Stegostoma tigrinum: one gene and its partners. The protein of the gene in region 4 interacts with the protein of the main gene of each other region in a pairwise test. Links are inferred from orthologs where the notes say so. Each region holds a gene or a part of one and is shown on either strand. Other genes may lie near its edges. The genes, in order: plekhb2, rnf208, rabgef1 and DAZ-associated protein 2.

Region 1 (7,746 bases), on a different chromosome or scaffold from region 4:
TTGCTAAAAATTAAACAATTATTGATCTCCAGCAGCTACATAAGTGCTGTAGCTACACAAGTCAAAGACGTGGATTTCACCGACAACTGGAATTCTGCAGAGACCTAGCACCTCCCCAAATCCTGCCCACCATTCAGAAACCACAGGTCTGGAGTGTGATTGTAATATTTTCCATCTCCCCAGACATGCAAAGTGCTAACAACACTCAAGAAGCTCAGCACCATTCAAGCCAAATGCACATAAAATGTCAACACCCTCTACCACTGCACCACAGCTGTGGCAACGTGTACCATCCACAAGTTAAAGCCTCCATCAACAGCACCTTCCAAACCATACACACAGATCTCCTCGAAGGACGAGGGCAGCAGATGGGAACAGCATCTCCAATGTTTCCTACCATGTCATATACTATCCCATCAAATCCTGGAACTGCCTTCCTAACAGTACAATTGAAGGACTACAGCAGTTCAAGGCCGGTCACCACTACAAGGGCAATTGGGATGGTCAATAAGTGCTTGCTTTTCCAACAAAACTTTACCCTATGAAAATACTTCAAGTTTTAAAATCTGATAAGATTCCCCTTACCAAAATCTGTTCTACTGCAGGGCTTCAGGACCTTCAGCTTCTCCTCAAATCCATAGATTTTTCTTAGAAGAAAGTAACTCGTACAGCTTCAGGATAACCAAATGTACTTTAGAGTCAGTTACATGATCATTGCTGTAACTGATGAAAATTATCAGCCAAATTGTACACCAGGCTCCACAAATACATTAAATCAGCACAGAGCACGCTATAGCATATTTGGCCAAGTGATGCTACCACTTTGTGCTGACAGGGAGAAATTTTAACACGATCTCCGATTTGGACATTCATTCAATGGCCTACCAATGAAATAGTAATGAATAGAAATGCCTCTCAATGTAATTCTTAGAGGGCAGGCTGCTATGATAATTTCCACAATTTGAAGGTTATGGCCACAAATGCATTTTGGTTATCCTCCCACATTCTAGAAATGGATCAAATAGCTGCATCATCCAAAACTCGGGGGTTGGAGTTGCCTATTCACCATTATACCAGTCAAATGGGGACCCTGGCCATTTCTTCAACACTGCACACATCCCATTATTCATCAATTGGGAAAGTGAGCTGTTACCAGCATTTTGAATATTCCCTACTGTTGCCCAAAATCACTGACACGATTTGAAGCACTTTTTGGGTAGGTCCAAAAAAAGTATTAGCCCTTGCTTTTCTTTGAAAATTGCACAGGAATGATTTACATTCAACCGAGTTGGCTGTTACTTTAAAGTTTGTATAAGCAAGCAGGGTTATAGTGCAGGACTTCCTCAATATCACACAAGCACCGTGTTCTCAAAATCTCTCCAGTTTGGACTTTGGTAGTGTATACCCAAATCTAGTACAAACCCAAGACTTCATATTCAATTTGCAAGCACTAATTTCTAGCCTTGAGACATATTTAGGTTTTAAAATATACATCTTCACCACAAAGCATTTGGAATTAACGTTAACCCAACAGCAAGTAAATCTAAACCAAAAGAGGAGCAGATGCTGTAAGTCAGTAATAAAATCAGAAGGGTCACCGGACCCAAAACATTAACTGATTTTTCTTCATAGATGCTACCAGACTTGGCTGAGCTTTTCCAGCAACTTCTAGATTTTGTTCAAGTAAACCTGCCCCAATTTAATGCTGATGCGCAACACCCTTAAATAAATCATGTCAAGAAATCTCAAACTTTTTATGGGAATTCTGAATTAGCTGAGGAGCTAAGCACTAGCAGCTGGATGAACGAACAAAATAACAACTGATTCAGTGACATTAAGCCTAAAAGGACAGATGACGAGCTTTGACTGTCTGAACTACAGTGGATTGGAAAGTGACTCAGTGGTACCACGTGGCCCAGACTTAAAGCATTTCATCCTCCACGGACTTAATTCAATTAAGCACTCTGCAAAGGTGCAAGTTATTTCAATGATAAACAATAACACATAGCATAAACATTGTAAAACACTAATAAATAATAAATTCACAATTTTGTTCTGGGGAAACTGTGAAATGGTTTAAGTAGCACTCTATCATGAACGATTATTGGTTCACAATGTGTGTCAATTTCAAACATACTATTAATTCCACAAGTTACATGATGTGCTTTTGTTTACTAGAGAGGGTGGAGGAATGATTAAGTAGTCATATGATACTGTCACAGATGACGACGATCACACACTAAAACAAACAGACGCCTACTCCTTCTCATATCATAATAAAAGACCTGTTAAGTCCATGACAGTTTTATATTTCAAAAGGGGAGGGGTGGGAAAGAAGGGTCAGTCAGAAAGTAGGATAAATCCGAAAGGGATCAGTCAGTAGTTTAAGCAGCAAAAATAAACAGTTCTCCTGGTTTACGTGTGGGCTGGACGAAGATATACATGAACCCAAATCCTGTCTCCCTCTTTCTGCTTCCTACTGCTGCTGATGCGCAACATTAGTGTATTTATTGGGCTGGGGTTAGGTTTAAGAAATACACTGGAAACATCGCACCCAGCAGACAGAAACAGTCAAATCCTTTGCCAAGTGACCACGCTATGAACCCGGCCCTCGACAGCCGCGACCATCTGAAACAGAAATCCAGAGACACTCCTTGGAACGCCATGTAAGAGTTTAACGTTCCAAATTAGAATCCAAAGACTACCGTGCAACAGTTCAACGTTCCAAACTGGAACAAAGACTCTCGTAGAACCCCATTACCACCTGCAACCGCTACTCACCCTCAGCCCTAGCAGCTCCACTCACCCCGTCACCTCAATTTGTCACAAGACAAGTGCGTCCTCAGGCGATCCACCTATTCTCCGCCCTCCTTGCCACGGTCGCCTCTGGGAGTTATAGTCCATTCAAACCCGTTCCCCGTTTTCTGCCGAGGACGGAGACTACATTTCCCATCCAGCATCGCAGACTGCCGAAGGAAAGACTCCCGGCTTTGAAATAGGAAGAATTGCAGAGGTTAGAGTCAGAGATAACGCAGCATCATAGGAGCCGGGAAGTTGACGTTTTGGGTGGGGTCACTTCTTCCTGCTTTGACTTCCTTGTGAATCCACCCAGCCCCAACGCGTTCCAGCGCTATTGGCACGAATGATAAAGGGCTGTCTTCTTTGGATGTGTCCTCCAGCAGGTGTTTACATCTTATTTGACGTTTCTCCCGAAGGGAAACCTCCCTGAGATCTTCATCAAATCAGCTGAAGTTGGCCCTTCTCTATTTACTCTGTTTATAAAGTTAGCCAGCTACGAGTTTGAGGGTGGCGGAATGGGTAGCAGGGGCCCAAAGAACTGAGGCTGTTGGAAATCAGAAACAATAACGTAAGTTTCTGGCGAAACTCAGCAGGTGTGGCAGCATCTGTGGAGAGAAAACAGAGTTAGGCTGTGTTCTATACAAGGGTCATTGCGTTCTCTCCGCAGATGCTGCCACACCTGCTGAGTTTCTCTAGCAATTTCTGTTTTTGTTCTGATTTCTAACATTCGCACTTCAGGGGGTGTTGGGAGGAGGGGGTATAGGGGATCACGATTGTCGATTCGGTCGAGAAAAAAAAATAAACATTAGGTAGACCACTCGAGCTGAATGCCTTTTTGTGCAGCCCATATTCAATACAATTCAGCCTACAGATCTTTGTGGTTCCAAGTAAAGCATCACTATGAATACGGGAAATCCTCCATACCACCGACATTCAGTCCTATGCCCAATTGACAAGTGCCCTTCCAACTCCATGAACTAACAGCAAACATCCTGCTGGACCTACTGATGGTTATCACTAAAATGAACTAAGTTTGTGAATATTTTAAGTTTTTAAAATTCACAACAAATAGTGGAAACCTGGCAAAAAGCCCCAGTCAGAAGCCCAGAGAGAAACCTCTCAAAATTGCAGTAGACTAGAAAAGACAACACCTTCCAATCTGTAGCCCAAGACACCTCTGGTGACAGCTTCCATGCCAGATGATCAGCAATGAGCTAAACTTAAAAAGGCCCAGAATCGATTAACTATCAGTGCGAAATGGCATATGGGTTTTTGTTTTGTTTTCATTCATTCACGGGATGTGGGCATCACCAAATAAGCAATTATTTATTGCGTATCCCACATTGTCCGGGGAAGGTGAGGCTCAGCTGCTTTCTTAACTGCAATCCTTTTGGTCGGTACACAGTTAGGAAAGAAGCTCCAGGATATTTTGACCCAATTGCTAGAAAAGCTCAGCAGTTCTGGCAGCATCTGTGAAGGAACAAAAACAGAAGTTGCTGGAAAAGCTCAGCAGGTCAGAAGGGTCACCGGACCCGAAATGTTAACTCTGATTTTTTTTCTTCACAGATGCTGTCAAACCTGCTGAGTTTTTCCAGGAACTTCTGCTTTTGATCCTGATTTTCAACATTCGCAATTCTTTCAGTTTTTATTTTGACCCGGTGTCAGTGTTCCAGTCAGAATGGTATGTGACCTGGACGGGAGCCTGCAGGTGTTACTCCCTTGTACCTACAGCCCTATCCTAAGTAGCAGTGGTCACAGGTTTAAAAGATGTTGTCAAAGGAGCATTAGTGAATTACTGCAGTGCTTCTTGTAGTATGGTCAGACTGCTGCCACTGTGTGTCGGCAGTGAAGGATGTGAATGCTGAAGGGCGAACAGGGGGGGCCAATCAAGTGGGCTGCTTTGATCTAGATGGTGTCAAACTTCTAGAGTGTTGTTGAAGCTGCATTCATCCGGGCAAGTGGAGATTATTCTAACACACTCCTGATGTGGGATCAGAGTTAAATGCATGGCTTAAAGTTTAGATGGGAGATAGGGGTTTCATGGAGGACTGGTAACATTACTGGGAAAATAGAGAGCTGTACTGTTATGGTGACCTTCAACTGAATTTTACTGAGATGGATTAAATCAGGTCGGATGTTAATTTTAACTGGAATGTGGCAGAAAGAGAGTGTGCAAACATAAGAATGGACCACTAAATGATGTCAGAGTAAGGAAAAATGATAAGAAGAGAGGCTGAGAGATAGGATCCAGAAGGGTCCAGAGCCAAAATGTCAGCTTTCCAGCTCCTCTGATGCTGCTTGGCCTGCTGTGTTCATCCAGCTCTACACCTTGTTATCTAAGATGAGAGGCTGAATCAGTTAGGACTAGATTCACTGGTGTTTTGAAGATGGAGGAGGGATGTCATAGAAACATATAATATTCCAACAGGACAAGACATTAAATGAAGGAAGGATACTTCCAAGGACCCAAGTCCAGAACTGGGGACAGAGTCTAAAGATACAGGGGAGACTATTCAGGACTGAAATTTGAAGAAATCTCTTTATCCTGAGAGTGGTGAGCATGTTGAATTGTCTGTCACAGAAAGCAGTAGAGACCAAAACATTGAATATTTTCAAGAAGAACTTAGATGTGGTTCCTTGCATGAAAGGAGTATGGGGAACAGGGAACTGAACTGGATAATCAGTCATGATCATACTGAATAGCTGAGCAGGCTCAAAGGGCTGAGTGGCCTACTTATACTCCTACCTTTTATATTAAGACAAAATTAAAGTTCTTTGAATGCACACAACGTTCATAACTAGATCAATTAATGGCATAAATCAAAATGAATGACTATATGGTAGCTATTAGAGAGATGTGATTGCGAGGTGACAAATTTCATTTGGTTCTTTTCCAACTTTTATTCTGAATGCACTTCAGAAACTCTTCTCCCCTCTTCTTTTCTGCCCATTACCTTATTTCCATCATATTTATTTTGATAATTGAAGCTTGCCATTACAACTCTTGTTTTGTACCTATCTATGATTTCCTTACAAATGTGTCCCTCCCTTTCTCAGAGTTGATGGCCCACAGAATACAGCAGTAATGCAATGATATGCAATGATTAGCTGTAACCTCAGATTTTGTCCTTTACAACTCAAGGAAATATCCAGCACTGTATTATTCTTCCTAATCAAAACTTGCCAAGTGACCTTTTGTTTTCCTTCCATATGTTTGCAGAAAACATTGTGTTCAGAAATATTTAGCACCCAATTCAGCCCCCTTTTCTTTTTAATTCAATCCGCACTATCACAATGGAATTATAATCCCAATTGGCTGTCTGTGATTGCATTTTATGAATCTTATTTATCATGCTGTGTGTTCTAACATACATGCATTGCAAATCTAAAATAGACTTTTTGCATCATTCTTACTTTAAAATCACCTAATACCTTACAGTTCCTAATTCTGGTGCCATCTGTCTCTTCTGACCTTTATGTTCATGCTTTTCCTGCTTCGCAACCACCTAAACAAATAGAAAACCTGCTTATAAGGACATTGGTGCCAGCATTGTTGAGTTGCAACTCATCCAGCCTGTGCAGGTTCTCCCTTCCCTAGAACCTGCGCTAACATCCCAGGAATCGAATGCCCTTCTCCTTCCATATATTGAACTGCTTAGATATCTTGGCTAGAATCCAGAGCTGAAAATTTCTGGTGTTTCCTGTGTGAGGATTTACTCCCTTCAGTTATGAATGATCTTGTCCTGTTAGCTTAGAACAACGGTGAAATGTTAGGAGTTCAAAGTGCACATTCAGTTTTAGCGAAGTGGCCACACTGCAGATATGCATGTATATATCTCTTGGTGAAAAGAAAGCCAGAACTTTGCTGCAAGTAGTGTTTTCACTTGAAACTTTGTTCAGATCTCAAAGTGACAATGATGTGGTGCAAGTTACAGTTGCAATCTGCACTCTGTTTCAGGCTGGAAACACATAGTAGGCAACAGAAAACTGTCAACATGCTTTGGTGGAAACGATTGGGAGATTTATACTTGTCCATCTGTTTTGTGTTGGGAAACAGTTTGACATTCGATGGTAATACCATCGCTTAATACCCCACTATCAGCACCCCAGGCATTATTATTGACCAAAAACTAAACTGGACCAGCCATGTAAATATTGTAGCTACAAGTGCAGGTCAGAAGCTGGCAATTAAGAAGCAAACAGCTCATTTCTTGATATAACAAGGTATAGAGCCGGATGAACACACCAGGCCAAGCAGCATCAGAGGAGCAGGAAGGCTAACGTTTTCTTAAAGGGTCTCGATCCAAAACGTTAGCCTTCCTGCTCCTCTAATGCTGCTTGGCCTGCTGTGTTCATCCAGCTCTACACCCTATTATCTCACATTCTCCAACCTCTGCAATTCCTACTATCTCATTTCTTGATTCCATTTAACTTGTCCACCATCAATAAGTTAGCAATCAGGAATGAAATGGGATAATCTCCACTTGACAGGATGGGTGCAGGTTCAAGACTCCATCCAGGATAAAACTGCCTGCTTGAGCAGCACCCCTTTCACTTGTAACCTTAATTGAGCGACCCCTGCTGGAAGCGTGTTATCCGGACACCAGGAAATGGCAGATCAGGCGTGGTTCTTCTCCAGCAATGGAGAAACCTGAGACAATAAATCTGATTTTACTGTCCTGGCCTTTTATAATTTTAAATGCTCCTATTATGTAATTCCATACTGTTATATCTTGTTTTAATAAAGTCAGTCACAATCTTTCGAGACTGCTGTTGTGTTTGTATTGTACTTCCTCCTGCCATGCAGCATCTTGTGTTTCCGTGATGCCTTCTGTAGGTAACTTACACTTGATCTACTCTATTTCCATTGCAAAACTTAACTGGATCATTCCTTTCATACAATCCATATTTACTAACTGTGGTCCTGAGATATAACAGTTTTCTCTT
Region 2 (7,494 bases), on a different chromosome or scaffold from region 4:
CCAACTCTTCATTTAATAAATTACTGGAGTTTACCTTTTCTATGACAATATGACCAAATCATCTGATGAAGGGAATGGACTTTGGCAAGGGTATGCCTCCTGACAGCGAAAGGCCTGATTTACCAAGCCTCTAACAGCAGCCACAAGTTTTACAGTTCAAACCATCGATCAACTAGAAGCTGTGAGGCACGGGATAGATCTATGGTAAATATCTCTGGAACCACCCTATGCTCCAAAGTGAACATTGTAAAAACAAATGTAACATTTTGCTAAGGTGACTAGTGGTTCCCCACCATATGGACTACCATCAAACTGGTGTGTTCACCAACTACTCAATCAATGTTTGATTTGAAGAAGGCAAGGTTTTTGAGAGCAGGATCTGTGAAACTAAGATCGAGGATCATCAGCCAAGGGATGAAATGAACTGGAAAGATCTATGAAACTTCCAAACTGCTCATACTTTGTCTCCGCAATGTGCTGCTCTATCGTATTAAATCTCCTAGGTGGATATATCTGACCTGTTCCTCCTGAGATGCTGAATGATTGATTAGTGTGTGTGCCATTTGGCCCAGTGTCACCATATGCTGGCTTCTTTGGACACTACTGCTGTAAGAGAAGAGAGAAAGGTGTTTCTGCTTGTGGCTCACTTACACTTGAAAGAAGCTATGTGTAGATCTATATATACAGCTGTTTAATTATGTGTATGGAACTGTTCCTCTGTAGTAAAAAAAAACATGCCCATGTATTGTACCTATTTTGAATTAAATAACAGCATGAGGAGCAATCATGCATTCTCCACTAAATCACTTCAACCAACCAAAGTTGACTTGCCAGGGAATCAGTACCTTTTCACATGCAGTGTACTGTGTTGTTCCCTATGAAATTTGGTCTTCTTACACCTGTCCTGATGAGTGAAAGATGAAAAGCTTGAACAGTTTGTTTTCAACAATAGACATTTGTTCTTATGAAAGATCGTCATATCCAGCTTCCAATAGCTTTGATGACAATGAGCAAATGAGAGAGCAGGTGAGAAGGAAGAGTGGGAGACACACAGTTAGCAAAAATGCTGAAATATTTCTCTATTTCTTCAGTGGTCAAACAAAAGATAACATTAACATTATTGTTTATAATAAAGCAAAGTATTAGCATGTAGACCAGTGAGTGAGATAGTACAATATCGTGCAGCAACACCAGATGAAATCATTTATTTGGCTTGAATGCAAGTCTGGTGATGCAAAGTGTGATGATGTATCATTCAAGGCAAACATGAAAACTAGTTTCAGATAACATGAAGTAAAGGTGATTCAAATTATCCTAAATGATGAATGCATTGATGTAATGGAAGGTAACAGCTCCATACTTTAATTCAGATGGTGATTTCCTACATTTCATCAAGGAAAGCAGCGTGTTACTCATTGATGCTGGGAGCTACTTTCTATTATCGCTCTTCAGCAGTTTCTTGGGGCTCCTGTGACACCACAACCCAATATAAATGCTCCACCTCTGCTTCTTTCCTTCTGCAGTCCCACAAGAGAAACCTGGCATTCTGTGCCTTGCTGATCATTGCTGGTAGATGCATTTCTAAACAGAGGCCTTTGCCTGTTAAACACAATGACAGTCTTTTTCAGCTGCTGTTCTCCAGAACTCGCAATATTGCACAAAATCCCATTCGAGGTATGCTTCATTATGAGAGCACATTCCCACGTACACCAACCCGAGGATATGGAACGACTGCTCAAATCATAATTACATCAGGAGGGGAGGGCTAAGTATACCACTGGGTGGGTGATCTTCTTACTAAAATTGGAATGGAAAATGTGCAAAATCCTACCAGAGAGACCTCTTGTGTCTGCGGTTTTCTGGACAATACAAGAACAACGTATATCTTTTTATATGTTTCTCTGTCACTGTGGTTGTTCTGGAGGCGGAACATGAAGACCAAAGGTCAACTGAATCATACGGTGTGGTTGTGTTGGAGCAGCAGTGACTTCACATTGTCTAACTTCCAATCACTAGACAAGTTTCCTTCTTGGGTCTGGACGGAAACAAGAGGTTGTGCTTTATTGCTGTAAGTGAGCTTACTAGTTAGGTAAATACTTCTGACTTTATAATCTTTAAATATTGCAAGTTTGCATACAGCTTTCCCTGTCCTTATTGTAGCTCTGACTCTGTTTACTGGAGACACTATTGATTATTCCTACTGACTGCCCTTCATCAATGATGAGAAGTGAAGTCCTGACCCAGATACTGGGTGTTTTAACTCTTTGTTTTTTGCTACTTGAGCAGGTGGCTTGTACCTATTGGATGTTGTATGTCACATCTGTGAACAGGACTGACATGCAGTCTGATCCAAACTCTGAGCTGGGTGCATGTTCCTGCATGTAAAGCATTGCAATGGTGGTTTCTAGTACACCCCACGATCCAGCATGGTCATAAGACTAGAAGAAGCAGAAGTACACCATTCAGCACATCAAGTTTGCTCCACCATTTAATGAAGCCTTGGCCAATCTGATAATCCTCAAGTGCTCCACTTTCCTTCCTTTTCCACATAAATCTAATTCTCGTACTGATTAAGAATCTGTCTACCTTAGCCTTGAATACACTTAATGACCCAGTCCCTCCAGCCCTCTGCCATAATGAATTCCAGAGATTCAATTTCCCCTGAGAGGAGAAACTCCTCCTCATTTCTGTTTTAAGCAGATGATGTCCTCTGGTCCTAAACTTTCCTGAAAAGGGACACAACCTCTCTCATCTACCCTTTCAAATCTCCTAAGAATCTTTTCTGTTTCAATCAGGTCACCTCTCATTCTCCTGAATTCCAATGAGAATAGGCCCAACCTTCTCAACATCCTCTCATAAGACAGTCCCCCCAAATCCAATATCAGCCAAGGGAAACTTCTCTGGACTACCTCCCATGCCAGAATATTTTTCCTTAGATAAGAGGCCCAAAACTATTCACAGAATTCCAACTCTGGTCAGACTAGTGCCTTGTATCATTTTAGCAAGACCACCCTACTTTTACACTCAATTCCCTTTAAAATAAAGGCCAACATCCCAATTGCCTTCCCTATTACCTGCTGAACGTGGATGCCAGCTTTGTGAGTTCCCTCTGGCAGTGGGAGAAATACCCATCGTCAACTCCTGCAGTGCCAGCAGCACAAGGAGTCAATAGTGGGCATTGCTGGGCATGTGAACATTCCCAGGATAGAAGCCAGTGGGATCTCAGACCAACATAAGTTGAGAGCACTGAGTGGAGAGGTTTCAAGCATCTTAGGAAGCGGGGCAAGAGGGTAAAGGATGTAGGTTTCAATTCCAGATGGAGAGGTGGGAAGGGTGAGGATCATCTTCTGACGCGGGTGCCCTGATGTAAAAACGACACCCTCCATTAATTGTACCACTTTTACTTCCAGTTCTTTTGAAAGCTTTATTTTTTTAAAAAATCAAGCAGCCTATCTGCCAATGTCAACCATTTTACAACAAGGGCAACATAATATTGAGGCCTAAGTAGTTATTAATTATTTACCCACAGTGAAGACCATTGAATAAGTATGCGCCCAGTTTCAACCTCACCTGCAGCCTGGTATCATGAGGGCACTTCAAGGATCATTGGGAAGGTGGTGTGCTGCCTAATCTATTTTGTAGGCCACATCCCCCACCAAAAGCACAGCCAGCCTTGAGTTAGAAACTCCAAACCATATGCAAGGTTCCAAGCTCAGAGTGTCCACATACATTTAATTTACAAGCCTTAACAGCAGGGGATAGCCAATGCTTTTAGCCCATTAATCCAGGGAAGAGTCCAAATGCTCTTTGGTGTTCAGGGAATCTTTTCATTGTCTCGATATGTCCCAGATGTTGTTCCTTACGTTGTTCTCATTGGGTCAGAATTTATTCTTTTCTCTCATTGAGTTATTCCATGTCTTTGTAAAGTACTGTTTGCATTAAGTTCTGTCCTAAACTGTTCTGAGGACTCAGTGTACTTTAACACAGTGTAGAACACCCTTTCCTCTCATCAACCGACTGTCAGCTTGCAATCAGCAGGGTTTTAAAACTCAAGCTTAGTATCTGTCTCTGACAACTTCAAGATTTATCTTGCCTTCTCTGCCAATCTGTTTGATCTGTGTCATTTTCTGAATTGTAAACAGTCAATCCTTAAACTAAAGTTTCTTAATGAACTGAAAACATTCACTTTAACTTTCTTTGGAAGCACCTCATGGAATTAAACATTTTGTTGGGTCCCCTTTGTCTTGAAAATTCAAATGCCATTGTCACAAACTTTTAATAAATGTCACTGTATTGAGACATTTTGAGAGTGAAAACAGGTCAAACAGACTTCAAAAGGGACTAAAAACAAATATTATTTCCTTTTCGTCATTGCCCATTATCAAACTGCAGATAGTCAGAGGTGTCAGAAGACAGCAGTCAACATTGAACACAGAGGGAGAATGGAGGGGTTAAGTGTGTGAACTATCTAGAGGTGACCTCGCTGACTAGGAGGGTGTGAAGTAGTCAGGGGAATAGCTGCCTTCTCTTGCAGTAACAGCACTAAGCCACTGTGACTCAGGAAGGAAATGGCAACAGCATCATCCTCTGCTTTCTCAGCATCGATTGCAACACGGCGCAAACCCTTTGAAGGTTAGGCAGATGAATGAAAAATACAAGCAGCTAGACGTTGGTTTCAGTTGCAAAGGTAGCCTGAGTTGAGGTACTGCGGCCTGTAGCCCCTACACTGCTGAATGAGAGAAATGTGAGCTCGCTGCAGTACTGCAGTGCTGCTGCAGACAATACTGCCATCGAAGGTAAACAGAGGGCTCCAAGAGACAGACCGAGAGAGGAGAGAGAGAGAGAGAGAGCAAGCTGCAGAGCAGCCACTGCCCTTACTGTCAATACAGAGACAGACACTGTGCAGCTAGCTAGAAGGAGGACTGCTCAATTGAAAACTGGAACCACCAGATTTACTACAAGTGCAGGTAACGTGATTCAAGCAAGCATCTTCATATAATTCACTATTGCTAAGCTGAGAGCTTCTGTGTCGTTGACTCAGTTCTGTCATAAAGCTTTCTTCTGGGATATGTTTGCAGTGTTCGCCTGCTCATTTTGCAGCATTCACTGCCGTTAAGAGATTGAGCATCCAAAAGAGGAAGAGAAGTCAGGACATACAGTTATAAAAACTGACACCTTAGCTTCATTGTATAAAGAGCAGCGTGTTTGAAACTGATGTGGACTGTGCAAACGATTCAGGATGATTCTTACAGATTGTGTTGCAGCCTGAATTGACTGTATGGATAGTGAAGACTCCTGGTGCAAAGAGAGAAACCTGCAAAGGTGCAGAGATGGTCAGACAGGGAAGGGAGTGCAGGCCCTACCTGTGAAGCAAGCTGCCTAATCGCAGCTGGGACTCTCAGACCCCTAGCCCATGGCGTGCCTGAAACAGCAGCAGGCTGCCATCAAGATGGAGGCAGTGAAGATTGTGCCAGTGGAGAAGTTTGCGGAGTGCTCAAGCTCACAGGGCCGGTACGGGCCCTCACAGTGCGTACGTGAGCCACCGCTTGTGGGAAAGTGTGCCTGGCCCCTAGAATCCGAGATCATCGCAAACCAGGCCTGCGCTGACGTCCCCACCCTGGAGAAAGCCCGGAGCCCTAGCGGGCTGGCCCGGACACCACCCCGCCGTGAAAAATTTGTCCAGGGCCATCGCAAGGCTAGTGCCGAACTGTGTTACCACCGGCAGACCCCATCAGATGAGGTCATCGTTAATCAGTACGTTCTTCACCAGTCAACCACTTCTGAACCCCTGGAATGCCCCACCTGTGGCCACGTGTACAATGCCACCAACAAACGTCCACGGATCCTCTCCTGTCTACACTCGGTGTGCGAGGAGTGCCTGCAGATCCTCTACGAGTCCTGCCCCAAGTACAAGTTCATCTCGTGCCCTACTTGCCGCCGGGAGACCGTCCTCTTCACCGACTATGGCCTGGCAGCTCTGGCAATCAACACCAGCATCCTGGCCCGGCTGCCAGCTGAAGGCCTCACTGCCAACCCGGGCCAATGGGGCAGTGAGGCTGACCGCAGCTGCTACCAGACCTTCCAGCAGTATTGCGGGGCAGCCTGCAGCTGCCAGCTCCGAAACCCATTGTCTTCCTGTGTCATCATGTAGAGGAAGAGAGAGAGAAGGCCCTTCCCCATGTCACAGAGTAACATTTGTGACCAAAATAAGGATTACTGCTCCAAGACTGAACAACTTGCTGTTCTTTCTCAGCAACCTATATGGTAAATTATCTATAACTGCATTATCTCATCTGGGAGTTTCTGTGTTTTCTGTGAAATCAAAGGTATCAAATTCAGGTTGAGTGGCAAGTATTATGCAGTCTTGATAGTTTTGCCTGAGAGGCAGTGTTGCCAAGCAACCTGCACATTCTTGACTACGACCTCGGAATTGCTTCTTTCTCCACCCCAGTATTATACGACGCCTAAAACCATTGCCAAAGCAGCAAGTGTTTTAAAGTGTTGCCCTCTCTAGGTTGGTAAAGCTTAATGTGTTCTAGATGCACACCACACTATCCAGCAGCCTATCGAGACCCTCATTCTTGGCCCTGCCCAGTGCCCTCAATCTTTCACCAGAACACAGTGTCTGGCGAGAGCATTTCTTTAACCTGAAGTTTCGATTTTGATGGTTGGATAATTAGAGAAGGGTTTAGCTGCACTTATTTTTAATTGCAAACATCCTCACCTAAGCCACAGCCCTGCCCCAAACCTCCATGACATCAGAGGCATGTTAGTAGCTTTTGTGTGGTGTCAACCCAGCCAAAATCAGCACCGGGAGTGCTCGAACTGGGCCAGCTGCCTCAGCACTGTACAACCTCCCCCGAACCCCACCTCTAACCTCCCACCCTACACCCTCCATCCTCTGACCTCCCACCTCCAAGCCACTGTGGTTCTGGAGGAAGCTGGGCTGAAAAGGGTCACGACCATAGGTTTCCACATCGACCTGTCAGTCACAGTAAACATTTAACAAAGGCTGCTCTCACCTGTGTGTCTGAGTGCATTGGTTTTGCTTTTGCTCCTTGCCCCACCCACAATCCTAGTCTTGGGTCCCAAGAAGCCATTCACACCTTTAACACAACAGATGGAGAAATACTCATCTTTGGCTCCAAATTAGGTGTATAGAGCACCTACGGCCAAAGCTAACAGTCAGTGCTGGAGAGCTCACCGAGAGCAGTGCTAGGAACACAAAGAATGTTTCTTTATTGATTGTATTCTGTGAATAAACTCTATATTAGACCTTCCATTTGTCTTTGTGCTACTACAATAATTAATGAATGAAGTAGGTAAGCATTAGTGCATCTCCCAGCAAAGGGTTAAATTCAGAGCAATGACTGGTGAACATTGGTGCAAAGACTAACACTACAACATAATGGGGTGCCTCTGAGTGGGTTCCTCACTCCATCTTCTCCCCTCACTTCACACTACATATATAAATACTCATATCAAATTTTATTA
Region 3 (7,496 bases), on a different chromosome or scaffold from region 4:
AATTTGAGATTTACCTTTTTTAGAACTGTAAAAGGGAAACTGTTTACACAAATGTACGAATTAGCCATGAGATTAGGTCATTCCTCCCCTTATGCCTTTTCCACCATTTATTAAGACCATGACTGACCTGACTGTGAGAATTTGGGTGAACTGGTTATGCAGCTAGTTTGTGGTTTACATAGGTAAAGTGTCAGAAATGGGTGTGTGATATTGGAGGGACTAAATTGTGAAAACCATGTGGGTGTGAGGTCACAAGGGTTTAAAAAAAAGCCATATTTGAGAAATGTATCAAATTCTTAGACATTATCTTCTGGAACACTTGATTCAGAAATTGTTGTCTTGAATTCAAAATCTGCCAAAATGGAAGGATAAGGTAGGTAAACTAAGAGCTGAGGGTTTTGTTAATTTAGTATTAATTATGGGGAATTACTAGATTCTGTTATTAGGGTCTCTATGATTTAGGATTTGTATAATTATGAATCGATCAGAACAAGCTAGACAAGTTCATTACATCGAACAAACTGATTTGAATTGTTTGAATAGAAAACTGACATGCTAGATATGGGAGTCTCTATGAATGCTATGGCTCAGATTCTTAAGGAGCTTAACAGGATAAATGCTGAAAGGACGTTTCCTCTCTTGGGAGAGTCCAGGACCAGAAGGCATGTCTCAGAATAAAGGGGCGCAAATTTAAGACCGAGATGAAGAGAAATTCCTTCTCTCAGAGGGCTGAGAGTCTTTGGAACTATTTGCCACAGAGAGCTGTGTGAGAAAAATCCTTGTGTGTATTTAAGTCTGAGATGGATTGATTGTTGATCAGTAGCGGAATCAAGGATACAGGGAAAGGGCAGGAAAGTTGTTGTGAGGAATGTCAGATCAGCCATGATTCTATTGTATGGTGGAGTAGGCTCAAGAGGCCAAATGGACTACTCCTATGCCTATTTCTTATGGTCTTATGATTAGTTGTATGGATTTTCAGAAGGCATTCAAAAAAGTTCCACAAAAGAGACTTTCACCAAAAGCCTGGCAATAGAGTGTAGAGCTGGATAAGGTCTAGGCCTGAAACGTCACCATTCCTGCTCCTCTGATGGTGCTTAGCCTGCTGCGTTCATCCAGCTCTACACTTTGTTATCTCAGCATCTGGCAACAAAAAGTTTGGATAAAGAATTGGTTAGGTGTTAGGAGATCAAAAATAAGGATAACAGATATATAATTACAATAGACCCGGTGTCTATCAATGATTTATTCTGGGCCTCAGTTTTTTACTGTATCTATAATTAACTGAGATTAAGAAATAGAGAGAAATGCATATCTAAGTTTACTCACAGCATCTAAGTTATGTGGCACAGTAAACAGATTGGAATGAAAAGTTTGTCTGGGATATCAATAATCTGTAGAGAAAACTGTGGCAGAGGAGTTCAATGTGGCAAACTACATACTTTTTACCCTTGAAAGATAGATCAAAACATTTTCTGAATGGCCAGAAACTGTGGATAAGCAGAGAGAATTTGGAGTTAAGTAAAGAAATTTTAAAAACTTAGTGCAAGTACAAAATCAAATCAATGATATGTTGGTGTTTAACTTGAGAGCTGGAATACAAAGGATGAATTTTATGCATGGGTGTACAAAGCTCTTGTGTGCAGTAGTCAATTCCAGGCACTGCATTTCAAGAAAAATATATTGGCCTTTGTAATGGTGCACTGTAGTTTCACCCAAATAATACCAGGACTAAAGGAGCTAAATTCTAAGCAAAGGTTGCATAAAATTGAACACTCTATGGAATCATCTAATCGAAGTTTTAAGATGTTTTCAGGATTTAATCAAGTAGATAGTACATATTTTGTTGGAAACTTCACTGATATTTTTCATTGTTTTTATTTTTATATCAATTTTGACTTGGAGCTGTGAGCTAGGAATTGAGAGTTGAACAACTCGTGGACTTTGGGATAGCTTATGATAAAGGGAAAAGAACAGATCAAATAAGCTTTTTTGAGATATCAGGCCTAGAGATTAAAACGTTTGATCAAAAGGGCTCTAACAGACACAGCAATCCCAGAAAGAGCACCATGTTTAAACAGATAGCAGAAGTTGTCTATTCATGGAGTCAGTACCTGGGAATTGGTTTCAGCAAGTCAGGGAGAGACACTGTGTTTAAGCAGATGACAGATGTTGAGTGGTAATTGAAGCCTTAGGAAAAGACATTCAATCCATTAGGGTGGAAACAGAGTTGGAGTTGTGTTTTAACTGTCTTATTTGGAGTAGAAGAGGTTGGCTGCTGACAACACAGCTGAAGATTTGAAAGCTAAGAGATCTGATCTCTCACACTAAGCTTCAGAAGCCCAGACAGTAGAAATTTGAGTTAGAAATATTATTAACCTTACCTGAGTAACTGAGAAGGTTCCCAAAAAAGCAACCAAACAGTCAACATCAATGCAGTGAAAAATGCATTGTGAAAACCATTTAAGTAATCTGACTAGTTTTATTACTTTTTTTATTTATCCCTTAACTGTATTTGTTTCTCTATCTTTTTTTTGTCTGAATGGGGCTGAAAACAAATGGTTCAGGTTTAAAGCATAGGCATGAATTAGACATTAACAGAAATCTATCAATATTTGTTTTGATTCTTTCAACTGACCTAGCTTCAGCAGCATTTCATTGGGGCAGGTGACAGGGGGAGGAAAGAAAGTCCCAGATTTCCACTAGTATTTACATTAAAAATGATTTTTTGATGTCACCCCTGAATTGCGCAGATTTTTCATATCTGGACTCTTCCAAAGGAAGTTGTTATGGAGGAAACAGACAGCCAAGCCAAACAGGCTTTCTACCTTTACATTTGCAATGCAGTAAAATTAAACAGTCAGAGTGTTACAATTCAAGATGGTGGTGTCACACAGTAGATAGCATTCAGACTCCTGAACGTGCCTGCTCCAGACAGGCTGCATCCTTCTCTTGTTTGCCTTTTTTGTCTTTTTCTTTTTTTTTCTTCATCTTCTGACTTCATGGGGAAGCTGGATCAGGGTGTCAGCTGTGTTGCCTGGGGCAAGGAATCATGGCTGCGGTAGGTGTGGCACATGGTCTTGGCAAGTAGTCGGCTGTGGCAGTGACAGTGCCTGGAGTGGGGAGTCCCAGCTGTGGTAGACCTGGAGCGTGGACTTGGCGGGGCATTGGTTGTGGCAGTGACCAGAGCGAGGACTCCTCGCTGTGGTAGGCCCAGAACATGACCTTGGTAGAGTCGGTGAAGGTGCCTGGACCGGCTCTCCCACTGCTATTTGCCTGAAGCATAGTCTCTTGGTAGGATCATCATTGCTGGTCTCGGAGCAAGGGCTCCTTGAGGCCCAGAACACCTTGCAGAAATCCTGGAGCTGTATTTGAAAACCCCCTTTACAAGGGATAAACTCTGCTTGTGTAATTTCTTTTAATTCTTTTTGTAACTCAAAGTGGTGCTGGATTGTGGTGACAAAACGCTTTTCACTTTATCTTTCTAGATATATATGACAATAACCAATTATCACTCAAATCAAGTATGGCCAACATATTTGATGCGCTGAAACGTAGGAATATGCACCAGAAAAACGGTCAAAAGTCGTTTTGTTCAGTGTACCAATCCCCCACAGCTTTGCGTACTCAAACATCACAGGTAGACATCCGACACAGAGAACGATGGATCGGAAACTATACAGTTAACAGGTTGAGATATCCTACCAAATCAGAGGGGCCAAAACGTCGTGGGATCGAAGGGTGCTCTCTGAAATGAGAGGGTCAAATTCCCTAATCATGAGCCCCATTCGTTGGGAGCCTTGACGGGTGGATAAAAACAAAAGGATGCGTGTCCGCAGATGTTTTCGTTTGGATGAATGGACAGGTAATCCGTCTTGATGTGAACCGGTGCAGTGGAGCTCGGAGTTATGCAATATTCACTTAACTGCTGGCCACGCAATAGAAGCAGTCTAGTACAAAGGAGTGCTGTGGATGCCAATACCGAGAAAGATGAGGACTTTCAGCAATGCCCCACGGACGATCAGAGTTCAGCTTCCAGTCCGGCAACTTTAATACGGCAGGGTCGGGCCATCCTCCCAGGTCCGAGGAAGGGTCACCGAACCCGAAACGTTAACTCTGATTGTTTTTCTCCACAGATGCTGCCAGACCTGCTGAGCTTTTGATTAGATTCCCTACAGTGTGGAAACAGGCCCTTCGGCCCAGCAACTTTTCTTTTTAAACTTTGATGGAAAAAGTTTACCAGGACAGAGATAGTAAGAACTGCCGATGCTGGAGTCAGCGATAAGAGTGTGGGGCTGGAGGAACACAGCAGGCCAGACAGCATCAGTGGAGCGGGAAAGCTGACGTATCGGATCGGGAACATTCAGATTTTCTTCAGATCCGAAACGTTAGCTTTCCTGATCAACTGATGCTGCCTGGCCTGGTCTGTTCCTCCAGCTCCACTAGGTGTTTCCAGGACAGTGACGTCAGCGCCGCTGCGTGTCGCTGCGCGGCTCTGTGCGCGATGACGCAATGACGCCTCCCTCTGAGGTATCGCGCGCCTTAGCGGTTGGTTAAGTGAGCGAAGAAAATTCCGGTGGGAGCTGGGGGTGTAGGAAGAGACGGAGAGTGTGGCTCGGACAGTGATACAGGTGAGGCCCTGGGTTTGGGTCCGCTTTCTGACAGTCTGAAATGAAATGAAATGATTGATTATGGCTTTGCGTTGTTACGCCGATCTTCACAGCCCGGGATGCGGCCGTGTCGATTGAGCCGGGGAGCGGCAGTTGGGAATCAGCCGCTGGCTAACCGGCATCTCCCTGCTGCACGGCAGGGCAGGGCCGGGCCATCCATCCTCCCTCCTTCCCAGCCATTGATGGCTGCAGGGAAAGGCTAGGCACAGAGCCGTGGTGTGGATGTGGAGAATTAGTACACAAACACCGGGTGATCTGCCCCAGAGAGAGAGAGAGATGGGAAGAAAGGTTTGAGAAGAGTCAATGCCATCTGTATTTAAATGTATTAATTTATTCCTGTGTTGATCATGTTGATAGTGTTCCTTCTCTCAGCAAGTCATGCGTTCAAGTCACACTCCTAGAGACTCGAGGACGTAAATAAACACAGACGGGCACTCCAGTATCGGATGGGCCAATTAAACTAGAAAGCAAAACAAAATTAAAAACTATATGCTCAGCAGATCAAGAAGTAGGCGTTTCGATCGAGATTGTAAGATGCTGCTTGGCCTGCTGTGTTCATCCAGCTCCACAACTTGTTATCTCGATCGAGATTGTCTTTGACCAGAACTGAAGCCTGTTTTTAATCTTCTTGGAATCGGGATCCACAGCACGATTTGGACAAGACTTCGCCCTCTGCCCCTTGCTAAAACTTGGTGTCCAGCTCCAAGCTTAATAACAGGTGGATTGCATGCCCTATTTATCTAAATCAATCCGGCCGCCGACGCGTTTTTACTGTACTGGGCCCTTATCAGATGTCACTAGAGAATTTGGCCCACTCGTTTTAGAGACCTCAAACCCATGCGAATTGGGACATTAACTCACCAGAACAAGTTGTTTGTGCTCAAAGTGGCTGCTGCATTTCCCTTAATTTCAGCTGCTAACGCTTCAAAAAAAATAGACTGTGAAGTAATTTACATCCCCTGGAGACTCGAAAGGAAGGCACTTTTTTATACTTCCGCTAGAGATGAAAATAATGTGCAGAATTAACCAGCGTGGAGCTGGACGAACACAGCAGGCCAGGCAGCATCAGAGGAGCAAGAAAGTTGACATTTCGGGACGGGACCTTTCTTCAGCATTTCAGAATGCTGAAGAAGGGTCCCTATCCGAAACATCAACTTTCCTGCTCCTCTGCCTGGCCTACTGTGTTTTCTCTTACTCCAGCATCTGCAGTTTTTAACTACATGTCAGAATTAATCATTCTGTTTCTTCATCAGTTGCATCCTGCTTCAGTAGTTTGTGGAGTATTTTGAGGTATCTCTGCAAAGTGTTGTAGAACCCTGTCTAGCTAGTCTTTGTCTCTGGGGCGAGAGTCAGTAGGTGGGTTACTTGTCGCAGAATTCCTAATGTTTAACATACTCTTGTAGCCATTTATTTGTATGACTGGTCCAGTTTATTTTCTGATCGGTGGTACTCCACCAGCTGTTTAAATCCGGGGATTTGGTGATAGTAATACAATTGAACCTCAAGGGCTTGTGGTTAGATTAATCAAGGTAATGAAAAAGTTACAGCTCAGATTTAGACTGAAGACAAAAGTAATTTGGACAGCAATTTCTGGTGCCTGTATATGTACAGTTAAAAACTGGTAATCAGTTACAATCTAAAATTGTCTCCCCTGATCGTGTCACTATACGGGAATGCCACTGAGAAATTTGACATTGAAATAAATGGAAGGTCATGGAGTTTCAATGCTTGTGAGATCTGACACCACTAATCCTGCAAAGACAAGTGCTGCCAGTCCAATGCAGTGCAACAACTTTTAAACAGCAGTTTGTTAATTACTGCACAACAGACTCCTGTAACACTGAAAATTGGCTTTTATTTTCATCTAATTTTCATTGTATTTGCAGATCTAATTAGAAATAATTTAAATACTCACTTGTTTCAAAGAAACATTTCCCTCTTATTTCTCTAACATCTGTCTTTCCTTCCTTCATTTTGCTTCCTGCACCTAACTTCGTATTTAGTTAACTATTTTAGTTTCCTGGTTAAGATTCTGTTTGACTTCTTAATCATTACAGAATGTAATGGTTTTGGTGAGACTTGTTATTTATATAAATGATTCAGATGTGAACATAGGAGATATGGTTAGTAAGTTTGCAGATGTCACAAAAATTGGAGGTGTATTGGACAGCAATGATGATTAGCTTTGTTTACAACAGAATCTTGAACAGTTGGGGCAATGGGCCAAGGAATGGCAGATGAAGTTTGATTTAGATATATGTGGTGCTGCATTTTGGAAAGTCAAATCAGGGCAGGACTTATACACTTAATGGTAAGTTCCCAGAGAGTGTTGTTGAACAAAGAGACATTGGAGTGCAGGTTCATAGTTCCTTGGAAGTGGAGTCACAGGTAGCTAAGACAGTGAAAAAAGTGTTTGGTATGCTTGCCTTTGTTGGTCAGTACATTGAGTACTACATTTGGGAGGTCATGTTGCCCTAGACATTGGTTTGGCCACTTTTGGAATATTGTTTGCAATTCTGGTTTTCCTCCTTTTAGAAAGGATTTCTGAATCTAGAAAAGGTTCAGAAAAGATTTAAGAGGATGTTGCCATGGTTGGACGATTTGAGCTATAGGCAGAGGCTGAACAGACTGGGCCTGTTTTCCCTGGAGTGTTGAAGGCTAAGAGGTGACATTACAGACGTTATAAAATCATGAGGGACATAGCTAGGGTAAATAGGCAAGGTTTTTTTCTCTGGGTTGGGGGAGTCCAAAACAAGAGGTCTTAGGTTTATGGTGAGAGGGGAAAGACATGAAAGGGACCTGGGGCAACTTTTTCATGCAGAGGGTGGT
Region 4 (7,372 bases):
TTAGACAAGTTGATTGAGCAAATGCATAATAGATGCAGGATAACAGGGGTAATTGTGAAGCTAACCACTTTAGTAAGAAAAACAGAGTGATAGGGTATTATTTAAATTGTGATAGATTGGGAAATGTTGACATACAAAGGGGTATACATGTCACTGCAAACTGGCCATTGAAAGCAAGCATGCATGTGCAGCAAGCAGTTAGGAGGTGAGTGGTATGTTGGCCTTTTATTTCAAGAGCCAGGAAGTCTTACTGCAGCTGTACAGGGTCTTGGTGAGACCACAACTAGAGTTTTGAATGCAGTTTTGGTCTTCTTACCTTATAAAAAGGACATACTTGCTACAGAGGAAGTGCAGTGAAGGTCCACCTGACTGATTCCTGGCATAACAGGTTTGTCACATGAGGAGAGATTGTGCCTATATTCTCAGGGGTTCAGAAGAATGAAAGGGGATCTCATTGAAACATAAAATTCTGACAGAAACAGATAGGATGAAGTGATGATATTTCTCCTGGCTAGGAGGTACAGATCAAATGGTTACAGTCTGGGGATGTGGGGTAGTCCATATCAGACTCAGTTGACCAGAAATTTCCTCACTCGGACAGTGATGAACCTGTGGAATTCTTTGCCACAGAAGTTGTAGAGCCCAAGTCGTTGAATACATTTAAGAAAGAATTGGATTTTTTGAGGCCAAAGGCATCAACGGCTATGGGGAAAGAGCAGGAGTATGGCATTGAAGTAGAGAATCAGCCATGACCATGTTGAGTGTATCAGAGATAATGGGAACTGCAGATGCTGGAGAATACCAAGATAATAAAATGTGAGGCTGGATGAACACAGCAGGCCAAGCAGCATCTCAGGAGCACAAAAGCTGACGTTTCGGGCCTAGACCCTTCATCAGAGAGGGGGATGGGGTGAGGGTTCTGGAATAAATAGGGATAGAGGGGGAGGCGGACCGAAGATGGAGAGTAAAGAAGATAGGTGGAGAGAGTATAGGTGGGGAGGTAGGGAGGGGATAGGTCAGTCCAGGGAAGACGGACAGGTCAAGGAGGTGGGATGATGTTAGTAGGTAGCTGGAGGTGTGGCTTGGTGTGGGAGGAAGGGATAGGTGAGAGGAAGAACAGGTTAGGGAGGCAGAGGCAGGTTGGACTGGTTTTGGGATGCAGTGGGTGGGGGGGAAGAGCTGGGCTGGTTGTGTGGTGCAGTGGCGGGAGGGGATGAACTAGGCTGGTTTAGGGATGCAGTAGGGGAAGGGGAGATTTTGAAACTGGTGAAGTCCACATTGATACCATATGGCTGCAGGGTTCCCAGGCGGAATATGAGTTGCTGTTCCTGCAACCTTCGGGTGGCATCATTGTGGCAGTGCAGGAGGCCCAAGATGGACATGTCATCTAGAGAATGGGAGGGGGAGTGGAAATGGTTTGCGACTGGGAGGTGCAGTTTGTTGCGAACTGAGCGGAGTGCATCATCCTCCGACACTTCCGCCATTTACAATCCGACCCCACCACCCAAGACATTTTTCCATCCCCTCCCCTGTCTGCTTTCCGGAGAGACGACTCTCTCCGTGACTCCCTTGTTCGCTCCACACTGCCCTCCTACCCCACCACACCCGGCACCTTCCCCTGCAACCGCAGGAAATGCTACACTTGCCCCCACACCTCCCACCTCACCCCTATCCCAGGCCCCAAGATGACATTCCACATTAAGCAGAGGTTCACCTGCACATCTGCCAATGTGGTATACTGCATCCACTGTACCCGGTGCGGCTACCTCTACATTGGGGAAACCAAGCAGAGGCTTGGGGACCGCTTTGCAGAACACCTCCGCTCAGTTCGCAACAAACAACTGCACTTCCCAGTCGCAAACCATTTCCACTCCCCCTCTCATTCTCTAGATGACATGTCCATCATGGGCCTCGTGCACTGCCACAATGATGCCACCCGAAGGTTGCAGGAACAGCAACTCATATTCCGCCTGGGAACCCTGCAGCCATATGGTATCAATGTGGACTTCACCAGTTTCAAAATCTCCCCTTCCCCTACTGCATCCCTAAACCAGCCTAGTTCATCCCCTCCCCCCACTGCACCACACAACCAGCCCAGCTCTCTTCCCCCCCCCCACACTGCATCCCAAAACCAGTCCAACCTGTCTCTGCCTCCCTAACCGGTTCTTCCTCTCACCCATCCCTTCCTCCCACACCAAGCCGCACCCCCAGCTACCTACTAACCTCATCCCACCTCCTTGACCTGTCCGTCTTCCCTGGACTGACCTATCCCCTCCCTACCTCCCCACCTATACTCTCTCCACCTATCTTCTTTACTCTCCATCTTCGGTCCGCCTCCCCCTCTCTCCCTATTTATTCCAGTACCCTCTTCCCATCCCCCTCTCTGATGAAGGGTCTAGGCCCGAAACGTCAGCTTTTGTGCTCCTGAGATGCTGCTTGGCCTGCTGTGTTCATCCAGCCTCACATTTTATTACCATGTTGAGTGGTTGCAGAGTGTTTTCAGTGGACCAAATGACCTATTGCTGTTCATATTTCCTACGTTTCTATGTCTATCATTTGGAATGACAGTTAGAGAGATGAGTAGAACACTAATTTGAGTTACAGTCCAGTGGGGGGCATGAATATCTAGATTTTGCAGAGAGCCTAACTGACACAGAAGAGTGATACAAGACCCGCAGTGGAGGAGCTTAGCAAAGCTATCAACTCCTTTCCCATTTGCGAAGCTCCAGATGATGATGCTACACTCCCTGAACTTATCCCATGTGGGGATACAAGAGAGATATTTTCCCGAATTTCCACCTATTTCTCCTGTTAGCTGGTGGTTGGATGCCATTTCACAGATGGCAAAACCTCCCTGATTCCCAGCCCAAGTGTGTGTGTTGATTAAATGGTGATAAGCACCTCCATTTCTGTATGAGTACCTCTCTTAACCTCAGAGTATCCCAATATATTTTACAGCCAATGATGTTTTTTTGAAGAGTAGTAACTGTTGTAGGAAATGTGACAAAGAATCGCTGTAAGTAGGAACTCTGTTTGGCAATGAGACAATACATTTTAGTGGTATTGTTTGAAGAACAAATGTTGGCCATTATACCAAGAAAAAACAAGAAAAACTTACTTTCCTTCAAAAGCATCAAGGGATCTTTTATGTCCACTTGTTGAAATTCGCTTATGGGACATGGGTATTGCTGCCTGGCCCAACACTTACTGCCCATCACCATTTGTCCTTGAGAAGGTAGTGGTAAGCTGCCTTCTTGAACCATTGCAGTCTACATGCTGTAGGGAGACCCACAATGTCCTTTAGAGAAGGAATTCCAGGAGTTTGACCCAGCAACAGAGAAGGAACTTTCAAATCATTGAATGGCTTGGAGGAAAACTTGCAGGTGGTGGTGTTCCGATGTATCTGTTGCTCTTGTCCTACTTGTGGAAGTGGGCATGAGTTTGGATGGTGCTGTCTAAGGACCCTTAGTGAATTTCTGCAGCGCATCTTGTAGATAGTATGCACTGACAGTACACACAGGTAATCAAGAGAACTCAGTCCAGAGGACATTGCAGGGTTGACAGAGATTTTGTTGTCTATGCCAGGTAGTCTGTCCAATTTGATTTTTTTTTTGTTCAGACTTTGTCGTGATTGATACAACTGAGTGGCTTCCTATGACATTTCAGAGGACAATTTATAATCAACCACATTGCCGTGGGTCTACAGTCACGTGTAGGCCACACCAGGTGAGGATGGCAGTTTCCTTTGAAGGACATTAGTGAACCAGCTGGGGCTTTTCCCAACAGATGACAATGGTTTCATGGACACCAGTAGATCCTTAATTCCAGCTTTTTAAAAAAATTGAATTCAAATTCGACTGTCTACCACGGTGGGATTCAAACCCACAACATTAGCGGAGTTTCTGGATTAATAGTCTGGCGATAATAGGTCATTTCCTGCCCTCATGAGAATGAGAAGACTTAGTTTCACATCTCATCTGAAAGGCAGCTAAGGCTAAACAGTAACGGTCAATAACTGATAAACTATTAGACTGTGATTGGCATTACTCTCTCCTGCTATCTATTCACGTTTGCTTTCTTACAGAACCACAACACAAGTTGCTGGAAAAGCTCAGCAGGTCTGGCAGCATCTGTGTAGGGAAATCAGAGTTAACGTTTTGGGTCGAGTGACCCTTCCTCGAAACTAGTTTTTATTGCCATGATCAGAACCACAACCTTCGTCTAATTTCCCCTTCGATCAGTCTAACTTGAATAAAACAATCGATGGCCTGAATGAACTGTTCAAAGATCTTTCCTTTTAATTGTGCCCGTGTTAAATAGAATGATAGAACAAATGCAATTTCCCTTTAAGAGTCTTGGTGCGTTTCCAGGGAGTGATGGGCGGTGCTGCCACAGAATCAGAACAAGGAAGTGAGTCGCTTGAACGAAATCAGTCGGAGCTTGGAGAAACCGAGAATCGATAGCGCACGCTGCATTCAGTATGAGTAAAAAAGGTAAGTCTGGGCTTTTGTCCGGATTAAAACCAGGGAAGCTTTGGTGGTTTGCACCTTGCGAAGCCCAGCCTAAGTGCGGCTCTTGGACAGTGGTGAGTGTGGTCGCCCAATCAAATTAGGACCATTGGCTCGACTTCAGTCTCGATTGTCTCCTGGCCAAATATCCTTGATCGAAGTAAGAGGCCAGCCCTGATTTACACAAACACTGCGAATTATTTTCAATTTATTTTTGAAACTACTAACAGCTGACAGGAATGTTAGTACATGTTTTTTTTCAAACCCTCTGAGGGAAATTCGTGTGTTTTCCCCTCCTGCCCGTTGTAGACCTATTTTCCAATACCTCCCTCTGTTGCGAGGATTAGGCCCTTACAGCTATGCTAATGTAATGTCCTCACGCACACAGTTGTTACTGGAGACGTGGTCATGACGTTGGGAGCCTTACCTTTTCTTCCGCTCTGAACTCTGCGTAGATTTTGAGCAAACAATGAACTACGCCACCGGTGGCAATGTAGATGCTCGCTGGGGTGGACAGATTCAAAGTTTGGTGATGTATCAAAGTCATTGTAGCATTTGATCGGTGTCAAAACTTGGCGCAATGTTCCATTTAAGCACCTTGTGACTCACATCAAAACACTGACAAATACAAGTTGTTGAGTGATAATGGGATCTTAATAAAATATCAGATTGACGAGCCGGTTTTGCTCAGCGCATCTTGCACTGACTCGAAATGTCTCCACACCTTAAACTGGTTTAAAATAGGCTAATTAATGTCATAAAATTTGTTGTTTGTGATAATGAGATTTCAGTGCCTGGTATTCTTAAGTAGTGCGTGTCCCTTGTGGATAGCCAGCTCCGCCTGCTGCTGATGTTTTTCTGAAAAACAATTCTGTTATCTAAAACGAGTATAAAATAGAAGCATTTGTCGCTATAATGTGATTTATGATCCCCTAAATCTGTAAGTGAAGTCTTGACTACTGTCACTTCATTCCACTAGAGAGTTTTTCCATGTTGAAATTGAGAAGTTTCTGGATAATGTCCCTGAGATGAATTTCTTCGGTCCGCCTCCCCCTCTCTCCCTATTTATTCCAGTTCCCTCCCCCCATCCCCCTCTCTGATGAAGGGTCTAGGCCCGAAACGTCAGCTTTTGTGCTCCTGAGATGCTGCTTGGCCTGCTGTGTTCATCCAGCCTCACATTTTATTATCTTGGAATCTCCAACATCTGCAGTTCCCATTATCTATGAATTTCATGTTGCTACCACAATTCTGCTGTGCTGGATTCCATGTCTGTCCTGGATTCCTCAAGCAATTGTTTCATGTTTAAGATTATTAAACCTTGGTACGTGAACTTTGGCATTTATTTCCCCATCTTCAATTGCTTTTTAGGAACAAGAACAGGAGTAGGTCATTCAGTTCACTGAGCCTGCCCAATCATGCAATGCACTCAAACATTTTAATGCCTTTTTACCCACTTTATCCCCAGAAATCTATCAATCTCTGCCTTTTAAACATATTTGAAGATTGAGCTTCCCATTGGTAGAGAATTCCAAGGATTCACAACCCTCTGAATAATAAAATTTCTCCACGTCTCAGACCTAAGTGTTATCCCCATTATTTTTAATCTGTGCCCCCTGGTTTCAGACCTGGTTCTGTTATTTAATATGATAGTGGCTGATTGAACACTTCAATGCCTTTTTACCTCCAATATCTCCATAACCCATTATGCCACTGGTAAACACAAATCTATCAAACCTCGAATTTAAATATGCTTGAAGACTGAGCTTCCACAGCCCGCTGGGATAGAAAATTTCAACAATTCACAACTCTCTGAGCAAACTATATTCTTCTAATTGGTCCGAAATGGCATCCCCTTAGTTTTTAAGTTGTTCCCTCTGTTTCTAGATTCACCCACCTGGTGAAATATCTTGCCTTCACCTACCCAGTCTATTCCTTTTAAGTATTTTGTAAGTTTCAATCAGGTAACCCCTTTGTCTTTGAAACTTTAGAAAATGCAGGCCTGGTTCACCCAATCTCTCTTCAAATGACAGTCCTGCCATCACAGGAACAAGTCTAGTGAACCTTCATTGCACTCCCTGTATGGCATTAATATCCTTCCTGAGATGAGACCAAACCTTCACACACGCGGTGCAGTCGAACCAAACACTATTTAAGCAAGATTTCACTACTTCTGTATTACAGATCTTCTTGCGATGAAGTCTAACATTCTCCATTAGGCTTCCTAATAGCTTACTGAACTTTTGTTATATTTTAGTGACTTCTTGATAAGGAAACATTGTCACTTTGTATACTTTACACTCTTGCCATTGAAGAAATAATCTACATTTCCTACCAAGGTGGATAATCTTCACATTTTTTCCATATTTTATTCCACTTTTGCCCATTCAGAAAAGTTGTGGTAATACACACTTCAGTCTTGACTGGACACCATCCATGACAAAGCAATGTCTTGAATGTTGTTGGAGCTGATTAATAGTAATGCCAATGAACATCAAAGGGGATGATTAGATTCTCTCTTGTTGGAGGTGACCATCCTCTGATGTTTGAGACAACAATATTTTTCCCCCTGAGTTCCTTAGCTTCCATGCTAAATACTGATGCAAAATAATAGTTTAGGATCTCTCCTATCTCCTGTGATTTCACACGCAAAAGACCTCGTTGATCTTAAAGGGGTCCTATTACCTCCTAGTTACCCTTTTTCGCCCTTGATATACTTGTAGGATCTCTTTGAATTTTCCTTAATCTTATCTGCCAAAGCTATCTCCTTTCCCCTTTTTGCCCTCCTGATTTCCACCTTAGATGTACTCCTACAACCACTATACTCCTCAAGGGGTTCACTTGATCCCAGTTATCTATACGTGACA

Evidence for each region.
Region 1: the proteins of DAZ-associated protein 2 (region 4) and plekhb2 interact in binary tests that used the Homo sapiens proteins (3 or more experiments, as listed by UniProt). The two-hybrid records come from large-scale screens. The link is inferred for Stegostoma tigrinum from reciprocal best matches to the Homo sapiens genes DAZAP2 and PLEKHB2.
Region 2: the proteins of DAZ-associated protein 2 (region 4) and rnf208 interact in binary tests that used the Homo sapiens proteins (3 or more experiments, as listed by UniProt). The two-hybrid records come from large-scale screens. The link is inferred for Stegostoma tigrinum from reciprocal best matches to the Homo sapiens genes DAZAP2 and RNF208.
Region 3: the proteins of DAZ-associated protein 2 (region 4) and rabgef1 interact in binary tests that used the Homo sapiens proteins (3 or more experiments, as listed by UniProt). The two-hybrid records come from large-scale screens. The link is inferred for Stegostoma tigrinum from reciprocal best matches to the Homo sapiens genes DAZAP2 and RABGEF1.

The regions. Positions count from the first base shown.
Region 1 is NC_081367.1:13,147,921-13,155,666, reverse strand, and holds the start of plekhb2 (pleckstrin homology domain-containing family B member 2), read right to left. Parts: upstream 3,012-7,746; 5' UTR 2,807-3,011; exon of another isoform or gene 2,782-2,806; intron 1-2,781. UniProt on the Homo sapiens protein: Involved in retrograde transport of recycling endosomes.
Region 2 is NC_081382.1:4,060,079-4,067,572, reverse strand, and holds rnf208 (RING finger protein 208), read left to right. Parts: upstream 1-4,487; 5' UTR 4,488-5,413; coding exon 5,414-6,151; 3' UTR 6,152-7,280; downstream 7,281-7,494.
Region 3 is NC_081380.1:23,276,541-23,284,036, reverse strand, and holds the start of rabgef1 (rab5 GDP/GTP exchange factor), read left to right. Parts: upstream 1-4,494; 5' UTR 4,495-4,628; intron 4,629-5,024; 5' UTR 5,025-5,385; intron 5,386-7,496. UniProt on the Homo sapiens protein: Rab effector protein acting as linker between gamma-adaptin, RAB4A or RAB5A. Involved in endocytic membrane fusion and membrane trafficking of recycling endosomes. Stimulates nucleotide exchange on RAB5A. Can act as a ubiquitin ligase.
Region 4 is NC_081404.1:5,873,556-5,880,927, reverse strand, and holds the start of DAZ-associated protein 2, read left to right. Parts: upstream 1-4,359; 5' UTR 4,360-4,480; coding exon 4,481-4,493; intron 4,494-7,372. UniProt on the Homo sapiens protein: In unstressed cells, promotes SIAH1-mediated polyubiquitination and degradation of the serine/threonine-protein kinase HIPK2, probably by acting as a loading factor that potentiates complex formation between HIPK2 and ubiquitin ligase SIAH1.